2 linked regions of the Arabidopsis thaliana genome follow. Each later gene encodes a partner of the first gene's protein in a complex. Each region holds a gene or a part of one and is shown on either strand. Other genes may lie near its edges. A codon is read from its position in the direction of its gene.

What was found.
Region 2: the proteins of COI1 (region 1) and SKP1 are in contact, whole or in part, in a crystal structure (PDB 3OGK), measured with the Arabidopsis thaliana proteins. Residues at the interface, in NP_565919.1 of Arabidopsis thaliana: Cys13 (codon at 3,718), Val14 (codon at 3,721), Ala15 (codon at 3,724), Thr16 (codon at 3,727), Val17 (codon at 3,730), Asp19 (codon at 3,736), Val20 (codon at 3,739), Gln23 (codon at 3,748), Val24 (codon at 3,751), Tyr27 (codon at 3,760), Ile28 (codon at 3,763), Thr29 (codon at 3,766), Asp30 (codon at 3,769), Pro31 (codon at 3,772), Asp33 (codon at 3,778), Asp35 (codon at 3,784), Ser36 (codon at 3,787), Ser38 (codon at 3,793), Leu39 (codon at 3,796), Val40 (codon at 3,799), Cys41 (codon at 3,802), Arg42 (codon at 3,805), Trp44 (codon at 3,811), Phe45 (codon at 3,814), Arg52 (codon at 3,835), His54 (codon at 3,841), Val55 (codon at 3,844), Thr56 (codon at 3,847), Met57 (codon at 3,850), Ala58 (codon at 3,853); in NP_565123.1 of Arabidopsis thaliana: Ala96 (codon at 2,188), Phe99 (codon at 2,197), Glu100 (codon at 2,200), Ile102 (codon at 2,206), Leu103 (codon at 2,209), Asn106 (codon at 2,475), Leu114 (codon at 2,499), Asp115 (codon at 2,502), Cys118 (codon at 2,511), Gln119 (codon at 2,514), Val121 (codon at 2,520), Ala122 (codon at 2,523), Ile125 (codon at 2,532), Lys126 (codon at 2,535), Gly127 (codon at 2,538), Lys128 (codon at 2,541), Thr129 (codon at 2,544), Pro130 (codon at 2,547), Ile133 (codon at 2,556), Arg134 (codon at 2,559), Phe137 (codon at 2,568), Ile139 (codon at 2,574), Lys140 (codon at 2,577), Asn141 (codon at 2,580), Asp142 (codon at 2,583), Phe143 (codon at 2,586), Thr144 (codon at 2,589), Glu147 (codon at 2,598), Glu148 (codon at 2,601), Glu150 (codon at 2,607).

Annotation. Positions count from the first base shown.
Region 1 is NC_003071.7:16,669,711-16,679,167, reverse strand, and holds COI1 (RNI-like superfamily protein), read left to right. Parts: upstream 1-3,303; 5' UTR 3,304-3,681; coding exon 3,682-4,172; intron 4,173-4,857; coding exon 4,858-5,338; intron 5,339-5,513; coding exon 5,514-6,320; 3' UTR 6,321-6,675; downstream 6,676-9,457. Other genes in the region: AT2G39950 (flocculation protein), read left to right, coding at 890-1,133, 1,211-2,410; ISA1 (isoamylase 1), read right to left, coding at 6,985-7,248, 7,328-7,445, 7,628-7,710, 7,797-7,877, 8,218-8,301, 8,456-8,611, 8,748-8,840, 9,244-9,330. UniProt on the Arabidopsis thaliana protein: Required for jasmonate-regulated plant fertility and defense processes, and for coronatine and/or other elicitors perceptions/responses. Seems to not be required for meiosis. Required for the regulation of some genes induced by wounding, but not for all.
Region 2 is NC_003070.9:28,514,813-28,522,014, forward strand, and holds SKP1 (S phase kinase-associated protein 1), read left to right. Parts: upstream 1-1,706; 5' UTR 1,707-1,902; coding exon 1,903-2,211; intron 2,212-2,468; coding exon 2,469-2,642; 3' UTR 2,643-3,084; downstream 3,085-7,202. Other genes in the region: AT1G75945 (uncharacterized protein), read right to left, coding at 601-682, 894-997; AT1G75960 (AMP-dependent synthetase and ligase family protein), read left to right, coding at 3,375-5,009. UniProt on the Arabidopsis thaliana protein: Involved in ubiquitination and subsequent proteasomal degradation of target proteins. Together with CUL1, RBX1 and a F-box protein, it forms a SCF E3 ubiquitin ligase complex. The functional specificity of this complex depends on the type of F-box protein.

The sequences.
Region 1 (9,457 bases):
TTATGTTTGTATCAATGTATATCTAGCTTTCAGTAATAAGGTCTATCCATAATTTGCGTTGGTTTAGTTAAAATTTTAGAAATCATAGGATCTCAATCAGTCGTATAGTGATACTGTTCATGCTTCCAAATAAAATGTATCTTTTATTGTAGGTAATGTGGGCGTAATCTGTTATGATCTCTGGTAGATGATGAAGTAAAGGTAGTTTCATCACCAATGTTGTGTAGTATGTTCTTGATTTCTAGTCATATAGGGCTTTAATTTTCTCTCTGTTTTGTCATAACATCACTGACTATATATCCTTCTTAATCACTTTATATTATCTCGCTATGGCTTTCATTGAATGGTATTTTTTTTGTAAATTTAAGCTTTTTGTTTTCTCATCGTTACTACTTATTTGATTTAAAAGGTCTTTTGTGTGTTCTGGTGGTACTATTCTGTTCAAACTTATTACAATGGATCTATATAAAGTTCGTTTCAGGAAGCTCTTAGATAATCATGTTATCATCTTTTTTTGTTCTAGCTTCTAAGTTGCAGGTCCCTATGCTAAGTTATGAATAATGTAGTTTCAGTTAAGCTAAGCCACAGTCTTAAAAAGTGTCAAGTACCAAATTATTGAACATAATGTTTATTCCGGCAGTACCCTATGTTTTGTGAATATTAGTAATAGGCTAATAACATAGCTGTTCTGTAAACAGTTCTGCATGTTTATCTGGTAGATTCTTTTGATGTAGTTTGAATTAAGGGTAACTTGCAAGCATTTAAAAGCTCTTGGACTTGATCCAACTTCTGGTTTTCAGCATCTAGTGTTTATTTGTTAGTGCTTTTGATTTTGATATTAGAGTGTTTTTCCGACTGATTTCTTGACGTTTTATCTCCTATTGGTCAGGGGTAACCTGAGCCTTATGGTCTTGCCAACATCTGACTTGAGACTCTCATTTATTGGAGACAATGGTCATTCAGAACAACTCTTTACCTATACCAGCAAATCTCAGTGCTCTGCGGTGTCAATTGAGGAGATAACTGTGGACAGCTCTGGTAGATCTTTTGTTATAAGGATCGCAAATGGCAATGCTTTTTACTATTGGTGCTCAGAGAAGTCAAAACTTCTGGGAACTGAATTGCGTAGGAAGGTTTGTGAAATAGTGTTGTTTTAAAATCCTTGTCTGTGCATCTAAATTTTCTCATCATCTGTTGTTATCCTGTGTAGATGAAAGACTTGATCAAGAAGAAGCCATCAATCTCAGAATTAACTGGAATTGAAGAATCACGTCTTGGCTCTGTTGCTTCTCATCTCCGTTTGTATCTCATGGGTTCAGTGGTGCCTAACATCAAAGGTTGTCAGGTCCCATCTCCTGATTCATCATCATCTTCTGGCTTTTCTGAAACAGCTGATTCCTCCTCGAGTGCATCATCAAAATCTCTTAGAGCACGCCACTGTGGGACTCAACAGACAAAGACCCAAGGAAGCCTCAGCCCTAGAGCAAGCTCCTTCAAAGAAAACACACTGAGAAATGCTTCTCTACGTATCTCCTCTAGAGATAAATCAAAGGGACACAGTGAAGGCCATTTCTCAATCTTTGATAATTCATCCATTACCTCTATCCCCACCAATGTAGAGGGTTTTATCCAGTCAGAAGGAGAAGTTGAAGAAGCTACTGAGAATTATAATGGAATCAGACAAATTATTGCTTTTGAAGAAGCAGAGTCAACACCAAGTACAATGACCGGACCTCCCCCATTTCCTTTGAAGATGGGTCCACCAGTCTTTTCTCCTTATTATTGCTGGTGCCCTCCAACCACTTCATCGCTTCACGCACCATCTGCCTCTTATCAGTTCCCTCCACTATCCATTGAGCTACCTTCCCTTCCGCCACTTTCCTCCTTATTACCAGCATCGGGATCAGATGGATTCTTGATCCCGTCATCACCGCTCGATCTCTCTGACATCCCTCCATTACCATTAGTCCACCACATACCCATTCCAGGCTCATCATCATCATCATCCCAGCAACAGATGATGATTCCTATAATGTGCGACCCTATTGTTCATATTCCAGTTATCGATATCTTCTCTTCAGGTCAAAGCTATCTGGTAAGCGCTGGACCCACCGGGATAATATCCACGGGCATCCCTCCGCTCCCAGTGGAGAATGATTCGCTGGTCGAGAAAGGTGCAAGAGAAACACTACGATTGCTCATAAGCGGAGCCAATGCAACAACATCTACACCTTTGAACCATCATGGAAGCAGAGGTCTATACAGTGTGAGCCGGGATGTGAGTGGTGTGAGCTTGTTTGCACCTATTGGGTTGCAACAACCGAGTTCAGTTGAGGGAGGAGATGGTGGTGGTGAGAGTGTGAGCTCAAGCGAAGCAGTGCCTGCGCCTCCCAGAGAGACTTCTGGTTAATTTTTTTGGTTCTTTGTAAGTGTGGTCCGAGTTAAGTGTATAGAAAACTCATCTCTCGCCTAGTTTTTGGTTTTGTTCAGCCCAAGTCTTTTGGTTTCAGGTGTAATTAGTCGGGTTTTTTGTAGCTTGCTTATATTACCTTTGTTATTTCCGAGTTTCAAATGAAGCTAAGAAATACGATCATAATAAAAAAGTTCTTTTGCAGTATTCATTTTCTTTCATGGTTCCCTCCTTATTCATAGTCATTGTTGTTCTTTCTAATACTTTTCCTGAGCTTTTTTTTTCTATTGGAAAAACTTTTGTCACTGAAAGAAATTTCAATGTGATTGGTTCTTTTCGCAACTGTAATAAGCACTAAAAGTTAATAATTTGCTGCTTTTTAAGTCTTGTTGCTGAATGATTTAATCCCAAAGACGTTAAAAAAAAGACATGTAAATAGTCTTTGTTCCAAAAGTACCATTTTGAGCGCTTTCTTTCGACAATTGATGTTGAACTTGTACCAAATAAACCTTGAAAATCATACATCATTAAATGTAGTTTTTTGTTATATACTTATATTCATATGGTCCATAATATATAGTTAACCATATTATGGACCATATAAATTCATGCAGTCAACAACTTTTTTTTTCCTCATTAAAAGCTACTAATACTGTAGAAAATTTTTATCTTACAAAAGAAAGGAGAATTATTGTATTTTTATTTTAATCACATATAAAGCAACCAAAGATAACATATACTAGTATTTAGTATTTTTAAATTTTTTGCTTAGGATTCAGGTTATTAATACTCTATAAAGAAATAATTAAATCTATCCATCGAATAAATCACACAGCTTATTGGATCAGTTAAATATTCTAATAATATTGTCGTGTAGCTGAGATCTGACCACTGCAAAAATGAAAAGAAAAACATAGAAGTAGAGAGAAGATCGCATCTCGACCGTCAACTTCAGTGTATGAAATAATGATCGTCCCACTTGATCCTCAAAAATATTATTAACCAAACAAAATTTGATTCCATCGTCCCACTTTCTTCTTCTTCCTCCCAATCCGCCTCTTCTTCCTACGCGTGTCTTCTTCTCCCTCACTCTCTCAATCTCTAGTCTTCTCCGATTCACCGGATCTTTCCTTTCTTACTTCTTTCTTCTCACTCTGGTGGTTATGTGTGGATCTGCGACCTCGATTTCAATTCGAAGTCGTCGGTTTCTTCTCTAAATCGAATCTTTCCAGGATTCGTTTGTTTTTTTCTTTTGTTTTTTTTTCGATCCGATGGAGGATCCTGATATCAAGAGGTGTAAATTGAGCTGCGTCGCGACGGTTGATGATGTCATCGAGCAAGTCATGACCTATATAACTGACCCGAAAGATCGCGATTCGGCTTCTTTGGTGTGTCGGAGATGGTTCAAGATTGATTCCGAGACGAGAGAGCATGTGACTATGGCGCTTTGCTACACTGCGACGCCTGATCGTCTTAGCCGTCGATTCCCGAACTTGAGGTCGCTCAAGCTTAAAGGCAAGCCTAGAGCAGCTATGTTTAATCTGATCCCTGAGAACTGGGGAGGTTATGTTACTCCTTGGGTTACTGAGATTTCTAACAACCTTAGGCAGCTCAAATCGGTGCACTTCCGACGGATGATTGTCAGTGACTTAGATCTAGATCGTTTAGCTAAAGCTAGAGCAGATGATCTTGAGACTTTGAAGCTAGACAAGTGTTCTGGTTTTACTACTGATGGACTTTTGAGCATCGTTACACACTGCAGGTACACTTACTTCTCAGTATCTTGTAGCTACTTTGGCTCGATGCTTTTGAGGTTTAGCGACTCCTTATCATTTCCTACTTTGACTAGAACTCTAGATGCATTTGGCTCTTTTTAAAAAACTTAATAAGTCGTCGTTGTACAAAGAACCATATCTTGAGTTTGTGTTTGTAAAGATTTGATCTTCTTTAGCTCAATTGGGTAAGTTGTAACTTTGGTGGATACTTTTTGTCCTTAATGAAATTGGTGAACCTTACTTCATTTGATTTCTTAGTACACTTTACACTAAGAGTAATATAAGCAGAAACATTTATTTCAGAAAGTTTCAGTATTTAGGCGTTCATGTTTGTCTTATATCCTTAATTGCTTTGCAACTGTTATGCTTGCTATTAAAGCAGAAATTGCAATGATCTTCAGTTATTTCTCAATTGGGGAAGTATAAACTTTGATCCGGATTTTATCTACAACCAATTTTTTCCCTCTTTGGGGAACATTCACTTTGTTTATGCATAAATAGCAAAAAGATTGATTTCTGACATCTTCAGTCTGCCAGAGTTTATGTGTATTATTTGGTTTTTGAATCCTTGATTCGGCTGCTGCTGTTCTTCATATTCAGTTTTAGCGGGAAATCCAAATATCTTGAGTTGTTTCTCACTTTATTCATGCAACTGTCTGTTGTCTTGTCCAGGAAAATAAAAACTTTGTTAATGGAAGAGAGTTCTTTTAGTGAAAAGGATGGTAAGTGGCTTCATGAGCTTGCTCAGCACAACACATCTCTTGAGGTTTTAAACTTCTACATGACGGAGTTTGCCAAAATCAGTCCCAAAGACTTGGAAACCATAGCTAGAAATTGCCGCTCTCTGGTATCTGTGAAGGTCGGTGACTTTGAGATTTTGGAACTAGTTGGGTTCTTTAAGGCTGCAGCTAATCTTGAAGAATTTTGTGGTGGCTCCTTGAATGAGGATATTGGAATGCCTGAGAAGTACATGAATCTGGTTTTTCCCCGAAAACTATGTCGGCTTGGTCTCTCTTACATGGGACCTAATGAAATGCCAATACTATTTCCATTCGCGGCCCAAATCCGAAAGCTGGATTTGCTTTATGCATTGCTAGAAACTGAAGACCATTGTACGCTTATCCAAAAGTGTCCTAATTTGGAAGTTCTCGAGGTAAACGTTTAACTTTGCTGTCTTTACTACATACTTGGGAATGCGTCCTTAGTACTAAATTGTGTTCCTATTTTTTCACGAAATATTTGGGGAGATAAGGGATATGAATGCAATATTGGTTCTCTTTAGTCTTTACATCTATATAAGACTGACAACACTTGTTGTTTTTCTTCAGACAAGGAATGTAATCGGAGATAGGGGTCTAGAGGTCCTTGCACAGTACTGTAAGCAGTTGAAGCGGCTGAGGATTGAACGCGGTGCAGATGAACAAGGAATGGAGGACGAAGAAGGCTTAGTCTCACAAAGAGGATTAATCGCTTTGGCTCAGGGCTGCCAGGAGCTAGAATACATGGCGGTGTATGTCTCAGATATAACTAACGAATCTCTTGAAAGCATAGGCACATATCTGAAAAACCTCTGTGACTTCCGCCTTGTCTTACTCGACCGGGAAGAAAGGATTACAGATCTGCCACTGGACAACGGAGTCCGATCTCTTTTGATTGGATGCAAGAAACTCAGACGATTTGCATTCTATCTGAGACAAGGCGGCTTAACCGACTTGGGCTTAAGCTACATCGGACAGTACAGTCCAAACGTGAGATGGATGCTGCTGGGTTACGTAGGTGAATCAGATGAAGGTTTAATGGAATTCTCAAGAGGCTGTCCAAATCTACAGAAGCTAGAGATGAGAGGTTGTTGCTTCAGTGAGCGAGCAATCGCTGCAGCGGTTACAAAATTGCCTTCACTGAGATACTTGTGGGTACAAGGTTACAGAGCATCGATGACGGGACAAGATCTAATGCAGATGGCTAGACCGTACTGGAACATCGAGCTGATTCCATCAAGAAGAGTCCCGGAAGTGAATCAACAAGGAGAGATAAGAGAGATGGAGCATCCGGCTCATATATTGGCTTACTACTCTCTGGCTGGCCAGAGAACAGATTGTCCAACAACTGTTAGAGTCCTGAAGGAGCCAATATGATATGACCCAAAAAACAGGTTTGTATATAAAGATTTTTAGTCTCGAGTTTTGGGGTTTCCACAAACTGTGTACTATACTACTTTGGTTCTTTTTTTGTTTCATGTTGTGTCGTCGATGTTTTTGGGAGATTACATAGAGTCAGTCTTGTTTGTTGTATGGTCATTACTTCTTTATTTTTCCTCAGGGGTCTGTTTACTTTAATTTCTTTAATAAAACCCCGAAGATTTTGAGAGATTTCTTTATCGTCCATGGTGTTGACTTCTGAGAGCTATATTTGTTTGGATTGGCATCTGAAACTTTATTTGTGGTTGTGATTGTTTTGATAACATTAGTAAAAAGGCAAATAATAGAGTACTAATAATCATTTATAACTTTATAGATGAAAACTTTGATTTCTTGTTCTTACACGAATTCTGAAAACGATGTAACAAGCTTTTGATTGGATTAACAGACGATAAAGGAATCTATTAACAATGAGTGGGCATATCTGAAGCCGACCAAAGGTACCCCATTCAGATTCTTCTAACCATAAAAGGAACCTTTACTATAATACATTATATAGGTAACGAAATAGTTGTCTGTATATGCATCTCATTCACATTTGAGAAGATTCCTTCATATGTTGTGATTTTGTCTAATACGCTTTTGGAGGAATCACGCAAACTCAGGGGTCTTTAATTGGTGAAAGAAGGAGAATGATGGATGAGTAACTGAGCATTGGGTACACATTTGCATCTAAGAAGTGCCTATACTGCTTCATCGCCGTTTCTCTCTCTGGGAGATCCGGTGTTATGCAGTCGTAAGGGCTCGGTTTGCTCGTGTCTACAAATGGCTCCCATCGGTATCCTGGCCTATTCGGTAGCGAAACAAGTGTGGCTAAATGACTGGTGTTGAAGGCCACATAGATTTCTTTCTTCACAGAATCGACCTACCGAAAAACAAAAGGGATTAATATCACCCACTAAGGAAACTGTCCATGTAAGAGAAGGGGTATGAGAAAATGGTACCAGTGAAAATGCAACAAATCGACTTGTTTCAGACCAATTTGGGATCTCAGGAGCAAGACCATGCCACTGCAGACGCTTTGCTGTTGGGAAATCATTCAAGCCAAGTGATTCACATTCACTACAATACAGTCATAATGGCCATCGATCAGAGGAAACCCGAGAAACAGGGGATTGCAAAAGAAAGAAAACACATAGCAGTAGGTGAAAAGGAAGAAGCATGTCAATTATTGGATTTGAGACTAAGTGAAGCGATCAACTAAGCAATTAAGATCGATAGACTCATGAAAGAAGATTACATACTCACGAAACTTGATAAGAATACGGCAGAATCTGAAGAAGTCAGAATGTGCTTCTTCCTTTTTATCCCACCGAAAATAGTTCATCTGCATCAGAGTTGTGTTAATGTCGGAAAGCTAAGATCGAAAAAATTACTTATAATCACCCTGGAAGCAAAGCATAAGGGGTTTACATAGTTGTCATGGCAATACGTGTTGTTGTTTCCCCCTTTAGTATGGCCATATTCATCTCCCATGTAAATCATTGGGACACCCTGGTGATTAATAGTTCAGAAAGACAGAAAAGGAAAAGGTTAAGCAATACACTAATTTCAATGAAAACCGGAGCATCACAATCTGACAAAGCAGTACCCTTAATACATATTCTTTGCATGACACCATGCCATTACCAGTCACAACTTAACATGTTGCAAAGGCAAACAAACAGTGCATAGTACTTAATTGCTAGTGGATTTAGATTCTCTTGTGGCTTATTAATTTATATTTTGAACTCATGCCCTCTACTCCAGTATCATAGTTCAATGTGCATAACATCAGTGAAACGAGCTTTGAGCAGGAATTAAAATTAAAGAAGCAACAAATGGTTAGCTTTACTTGGGAAACCATGAGGGAAACAAAGAAATTCCGCATCTGTCGTTTCCTTAGTCTCTTCACCGAGATACTCGCAAAGTCTCCCTCCTGCAGCCCAATCAAATGAAGCCTTTTTAGTTTAGGTAAAAGTGCAATAGCCATTTCATTTCAGCTTATAAACATTCTACAAAAAGTCGTATGATATAATATGAGACTGAATTCACATAGCTGATGAAAGAGAAAACAAAGATTAATATCTTACCTCTCCACAGTTCCAGCTGTAATTGTGATTCTCTCCATCATTATTCTCTTCTCCATTTGCCAAGTTATTCTTATTGTTGTAAGTTACTAAATCTGCCAACGTAAAACCATCATGCGCACATATAAAATTGATGCTGTGCCAAGGTTTCCTACCTCCCTGATGCACAGACACAATCAGATATCGATAAGATATACAACCAAAATATGAAGCTTCACAGACAAAACAACCAAGAGAACACCATAAAGATTAGTTATATATCCAGATACCCCAGTATAATAGGAGTTAAATTTACCTGGTACAGATTTGGGCTTCCACAGAGACATTCAGCAAAAGCACCAGAAAAGCCATCGGTGCCTTTTATGAACTGTCTCACAACATCCCGAAACTGAAATGGACAAAAATGTTACTATACCATATCAAATTCACAACGAAGATAGATATCCAGCACAGTGCACACACTAATGGGAACTACCACGAGAACTGAATATTCATTATTGTTGTCTCATGTGTTGTCTATTGGATAGTAAGTTTAAGACTTCCATGTTCATTGCTAATACAGGCTAGTAGGTTACTATACACTTCAGTTAGCTAGTACAGGCAGATCACATAGGCTGTCCCATTTTCAATTGATTAGAGCATATTCTAAGGGTCAGCAGAAAGATGAATAACCACTAATAATTACATCACATTTGGCATGAAACCCTTATACACTGTGACACTTACTCTTCCATATCTCATGTCTCAAACAATTGAAAGAAGCATTTTATCCTCGTAATACATTAACTGACCTTTCCATTCCACTCAGACCAAATACCCCAGTGTGGAAACATGCCAACTTGGTACAGCCCACCCGCATCCCATGCTTCAGCTATTAGCTGTTTGCAAAGAAGCAACATAAACACATAAATATCTCATCGTCAAAGATCTTACATTGGTGAATGTATTTCCATCAAGAAAATGACAACTTTTTAACAATCATCTTTAGATCTGGAGATTATGACA
Region 2 (7,202 bases), on another chromosome or scaffold:
TAAAATACGTTATAACTAAAAAAACTGAATGCATTTCAAAAAAGTTACCATATAATCATATAAGTAAGCATATAAATCATACACCTTATCTTGATGTATATGATTAGTTATAACTAGAAAAGAAAACAAAACAAAGTTGAATATTATATCTAAGAATATATATTACCCATTAAGAAATAAATGAAAGAGAGAATAAAATCCACAGCATTATATAAATATTGTAGCCCTGGGAGTTCGGATATATCGGTTTAATCGGTTCGGTTTATTTAGTTTTTCGGGGTTTTTGGATTTTTTAATTTCTAGCCGAATTGAACCGAACAAAAATTCGGTTCGGGTCGGTTCGGACATCGGTTTTTTCGGTTCGGTTATTGGGTATAAATTAAATTCCGGATTAAACCGATTTTTTTTCTAATTCGGTTAATTTGAACCAAATAAACCACAAATTAAAAAAATGGACTTACAAAAATGAAATCTAATAAAAAACAAACAACAGGCCCAATACACAAATATACAGTTACAATTACAAATCCACAACACAATTATGGGTCAGGTCCATTACAAAATTAGGGTTTTGAGTTTTGACAAAAAAAATATGTACGACTACAACTCCAAACTGCGACGTCGAGCAGTGCCTCTCCAATCTAGTGATCTACCATTCCGACGACGTAATGCCCTACGAGACCTGTTAAACGCCCGTTTGTTATCCATGAAGTAAGAAAAAACATGAGATGGAAGTGTAAACCATAAAAGATCCATAAAAATAATGGATAATCTCAGATTTGGAAGTGTAAAGCCTAACTCTAAAATTTCAGAAATTATAGAGACAGAGGAAGAGCTTAGAGAGCAAAGAATCAAACAAAACAAATGATTAAAGAGAAATAAGAAGAGTTTACCCTAAGAAAGTTGAGGTTGTGGGTTGAATCTCTGAGCAAAGGTTTTTTGTAAGACCAACTGAGATTAGAGAGAATGAAAGAGGCTTGGAAGATGATGAATTCATGAAGGAGAAGAGACGAGTTGATGATTACTAATTCAATCGAAGAAAAATATCAAAGTTTCTTTGTTGTTTTCGCAAGAGGCAGAGAGCCAAAAACGAAGAAGAAACCTAATTAGGTTAAGACTCATCAATTAACCTTATATATGGCTGCAGATTCTCGGTATGGGTGAAACCGATTGGTTCCGATTACCGAACCGACCCGAACCGACTTCCGAATTCTTAAATTAATTTGGCCGATCGGTTCGATCTCCTTAATTCGGTTGCTGCCGAAAACCAAAATTTTCGTTTTTTTCGGTTCGGTTTTCTCGGGTTGAACCGTTATCCCAGGCCTAAAATATTGTATGACTCTTGACCAAAAACTAGTTAGATATATTATTTATTATGACATATTAATATTAACTTAATATAAAATAAAAATAAATGTTCAAAAAACATGATCTTAAAGCTGACAAAGCTGATTTGATTGACTAATACTTATCCTACGGTGATTTTTGGTTCTTTTACTTTTTTTGACAATTATGGAGCTGGATGGAAAAAAAATATATATAAAATCATATATTATTAATAATGAGATAAATACAACGAATTAAACGGATCAAAGTTAATATTTCCAAAAGAAAAATAGAACAGAGTCCTAATTTCATTAATTTCAACTATTGAAAACAAAATTTAAAATCAATAGGATTGATTTCTATTTTTCTTTTAGAAAAACAAAATTTGAAACAATTTCCTAATTTCCCTAAACTTGCGACTTTTTAACAATCGACCGACTTATCAAAATTAGGGATTGTTTTATATATAAAGAGAGACGCATCTCTTTATTTCATTCATCGCTTCTCCAAAATTTTCTTCAAAGAACAAATCTCCCAAATCTAAAATCTTTCTCTTCTCTCTTCGTTTCCATAACCATGTCTGCGAAGAAGATTGTGTTGAAGAGTTCCGATGGTGAATCTTTCGAGGTTGAGGAGGCGGTGGCTCTCGAGTCACAAACCATAGCGCATATGGTTGAAGACGACTGCGTCGACAACGGAGTCCCTCTTCCTAACGTCACGAGCAAGATCCTCGCCAAGGTGATCGAGTATTGCAAGAGGCACGTCGAGGCTGCTGCCTCTAAGGCCGAGGCCGTCGAGGGTGCTGCTACCTCCGATGACGATCTTAAGGCCTGGGACGCTGATTTTATGAAGATCGATCAAGCTACTCTCTTTGAACTCATTCTGGTATGTTTCTTCTCTCGATCTGATTTGATTTTTCCATCGAATTTTGAATTTTGGGATTCTAGGGTTTTCGATTTGGGAAAATTAGGGTTTCGAAATTTAGGTGTTTGTTTCAGAAATTGAATCTGCTTGAGATTGATATTGTTAGGGTTCTTATGGAACCAATCATTAATTGAATCTATCGATTTGGATTATAATCATATCTGTGTTTTTGGATTCGGATTTTGATCTAATGGTTATGAATTTGGGATCTTGTGCAGGCTGCTAATTACCTGAATATCAAGAACTTGCTTGATCTAACATGTCAGACAGTTGCGGATATGATCAAAGGAAAGACTCCAGAAGAGATCCGCACAACGTTCAACATTAAGAACGACTTCACACCAGAGGAAGAGGAAGAGGTTCGCAGAGAGAACCAATGGGCTTTTGAATGATTGATCTTCAGAGAGAAGAATCAAAAGCAGCAAGCAACCAGTTTCTTCTTCCTTATGTTTATTGCCGTTTTCAAGTGTTGTTGATGACTTGCTTTTTAATATTCTTCATGAATCATGACTATCTTCTTCCTCTTCTTTCTTTCTTATCAAGAACCAATGTTTCTTACTCTTTGTGGGATGGATAATTTGTGCTTTTAGATAATCTTCAAGAGTGATGTTGGTTTGTCTTACAAAATAACTTCTTTCAATTGTCTTGCCAATCGCCACAGAATGCTAATTTGCACGATTCATTTTAGGAATGTTCATGTGTAAATAAAAAGAAACTGAATTTGGCAGAGTCTGCAAGCAGAATGTGAAGGATCATGACGACTACTCATTGAAACCAATGGTCACCAGTTATGCCCTGCTCCTGCTCATCTACTTACATAAATATCTGCATCACGTATTTGTATCTTGTCAACATCTTCTCAAATACTAACATAATCAGCATCACCCATTCGTCAACATTCGATAACATGTGGGCTTTGTTTGCATATAAGAAAACAAAGTTTCCACTCAACCGAACGTGGATCACATGTACATCAATATAATTACTTTAATTGTTTGTCTGGCTAGTCAAGTGGTCTCTCGTCTCGTCATTGTGTATCTTATCTTTACTATGAGACTGAAAGAGATATCTTCTTTATATACAGTAACACTCACATTGTGGTCACTCGAAAAGAGCTAAAGAAAATGGAAGATTTGAAGCCAAGTGCCGCTAACTCGTTACCATTGACACTGTTAGGCTTTCTTGAGAGAGCAGCCACCGTGTATGGAGACTGTACCTCCATCGTTTACGGCAATTCCACCGTGTACACATGGCGAGAAACGAATCACCGTTGCCTCTGCGTCGCGTCTGCTCTGTCTTCCATTGGAATAGGAAGATCCGACGTTGTCTCTGTCCTATCTGCTAATACTCCGGAAATGTACGAGCTCCAGTTTTCCGTTCCGATGTCTGGCGCGATCCTTAACAACATCAATACCCGCCTCGACGCGCGAACCGTCTCTGTTCTTCTCCGCCATTGCGAGTCTAAGCTGCTCTTCGTCGACTTCTTTTACTCCGATCTCGCTGTCGAAGCGATCACGATGTTGCTCAATCCGCCGATTCTCGTCCTAATCGCCAATGAGGAGGAGGAAGAAGGAGGAGCTGAAGTAACGGAGCGTTCAAAATTCTGTTACTTGTACAGTGATCTAATCACTAGAGGGAATCCGGATTTTAAATGGATCCGACCCGGAAGTGAATGGGACCCGATTGTGGTCAATTACACATCAGGTACGACGTCGTCTCCTAAAGGAGTGGTTCATTGCCACAGGGGTATATTCGTCATGACGCTTGATTCCCTAACCGATTGGGCCGTACCGAAAACCCCGGTTTACTTATGGACCTTACCGATATTTCACGCCAACGGTTGGACCTATCCATGGGGAATCGCCGCCGTCGGAGGAACTAACGTCTGTGTGCGTAAACTCCACGCGCCGTCAATATACCATCTAATCCGTGATCACGGCGTGACTCACATGTACGGCGCACCAATAGTGCTTCAGATTCTATCGGCGAGTCAAGAATCTGATCAGCCTCTTAAGAGTCCGGTCAATTTCTTAACCGCCGGTTCTTCTCCGCCAGCTACGGTGCTTCTCCGCGCCGAGTCTCTAGGTTTCATCGTCAGTCACGGTTACGGATTAACGGAGACAGCCGGTGTGATCGTCTCCTGCGCGTGGAAGCCAAACTGGAATCGGTTACCGGCGAGTGATCAAGCGCAATTGAAATCACGGCAAGGAGTGAGAACCGTCGGATTTAGCGAAATCGATGTAGTGGATCCAGAATCAGGTCGGAGCGTGGAGAGAGACGGAGAAACAGTCGGAGAAATAGTGTTGAGAGGGAGTTCAATCATGCTCGGATACTTAAAAAATCCGATCGGAACTCAAAATTCGTTTAAAAACGGGTGGTTCTTCACCGGAGACCTCGGTGTGATTCACGGGGATGGTTACTTAGAGATTAAAGATAGATCGAAAGATGTGATTATTTCAGGAGGAGAGAATGTGAGTAGTGTGGAAGTGGAGGCGGTGTTGTACACGAATCCGGCGGTGAATGAAGCGGCGGTGGTGGCTAGACCTGACGAGTTTTGGGGAGAGACGCCGTGTGCTTTTGTTAGTTTAAAACCCGGGTTGACCCGGAAACCAACGGATAAGGAGATTATAGAGTATTGCAAATATAAAATGCCACGTTACATGGCTCCTAAAACGGTCTCGTTTCTTGAAGAGTTACCAAAGACTTCCACTGGGAAGATTATAAAGTCATTGCTTAAAGAGATTGCCAAAAACATGTAAAAGTATTGTAATTTTGATCTAATATCAGATATGTCATCTCTTTCATTAAGATTAATCATATGATCAAATTAATTGAAATCAGTCTCTTTCGTGGCCGCATATGTCTCAGCATCAAAAGAAAGTGGTTTATCACAAAAAAGAAAAAAAAAAAGAGAACAAAAAGCTCCGTTACCGGGAATCGAACCCGGGTCTCCTGGGTGAAAGCCAGATATCCTAACCGCTGGACGATAACGGATTGATGTTGTATTATCTCATTTATACATTATTATTTCAACACTAAGTCTGGTATTACAGGGTTTTGGCATGGACGTCGTGAAATATGCAAGCTCATGTCAACGATGCAAATAGCATAAGCTTTTGGGTTTTTATTTAGAGCTATATTAATTGATATGCATGGAAGATGAAGAAATTAAGAATCTATGCATAAATATTAGTTATTTTGGTAAGTATGAAAGATAAATAATATATAAACTAAAAATATCTTTTTTTACATTAATTACAAAAATGCTATTGAATAAAATTAATTGTAATTTGCGGATAATAAGCATATAGCTATTTGTTTAACGTGCTAAAAACTGTGATATCACGATAAATTTATAAATTATTTGTTAAAAAAATAGTTATCGATTTAAAATTGTAAATCTTTATTTTTTATTTATGTATATTCAAAACAATAGAAGGAAATTAGACTTTTTCTTACATAATTAAGATGATAATAATTATAACAACATGATATATAGAATAATAACATGCTAACATATTATATAACGGAATAATATTTATATAAAAACGTTAAAATATTTGATATATGAATAATATTTACTCTAACATATAATTTATACATAATATTTTTCAATAATTGTTAACGAGGATAACCTGATAACAATGAAAATATTTAGTAATAAAAATAAGATGTGAAATTTTATTTAAAAAACAAAAAATACAAATGTATAATAAAGTAACTTCATCAGTTATTTTACTGTTGAAATAGTCAACAATTCCGCCACCTAATTTTTCAGTCTTCAGGACATATTTATTATAATTTCTCTTTTATTTAACTATGTAGTATGTGAGTTGGCATAAACAATATTTAGAAATCCAAAGACATGTAGAAGGTCTACAATAGAACAAAGATTATAATTGTTTTAGTAACCACAAACGACATAATATTTTAGTAACAAACGATTGATATCAAACAGTCAAACTCTATCAGTCTCTTCATTATGGTAGCAGTATATGGAGCCTCATTGGATTTATCCACCTCTCCCATCCCTGGCGTTTTCTCAGCTTGTTATTCTGCACATAATTTAATTTCAACATTCAGTAAATATTAGTATTTCATGATTATCTATCTTGGTGGAAAGAACATAAAACAAAAACAAAAACAGATAAAGTTATAGAACTCTTGTTACGTGTGATTATTAGTAAATTACCTGGATTTCAACTGTAGCTGATGATTTCATTGAACGCAATATCAACTCAATATCATTAGTCATGCTTTTGATCTGATTTTTTTTATTTTTTATATTTTTGTAAAGGCCAAGAAAAAACGATTAAGATTATTATTATCCACTCTATTTTTCAAAAAAATAAAATATTCACTAAAGTTAACTTACTCTTGGAAAATCTGTAATAGTTAAAATATTAACCCATCCTTGATTATCCATTTGAGATCTCAAGTACTCATCTTTTGCCAAATTATCATCGCTGCATTATCAATGAAGGTAAACATATCCTAAGAAATCAATAAACACAAAAAACAAAAAAAACTTTAAAGTAAATAAACCAAAATAAAAGTTTATTTACCTAAAATAATAATCAATTTGGAAAACGATGAAAGAAGATAAACTGGAACATGCTGCTGACCTAAAATCTGGAAGATGTGCTAAATCTGTTGCTCACAACTTACATAAGTTAGTAAAAAACTCAAGAGTAATGATAAGAAACACTAGCTAATATATATAAAACAAACTTAATAACAACTTACCAAACACAGGTCTATAAGAAAACTGCTGAAGAGGAAAACATGGTTTGATAGAAAACGTTTGTGAATAATTAGACATTATAGCCGATTTAATCCCTTTGAAACTGAACTTTGATTCTAATTAGATGGTGTGGAAATAATGTTTCTCGATCTCTTGAATACAGGGTTGAGTCACGTTGTTTATATAGTGGTCTGCTTTTTTTATTCCT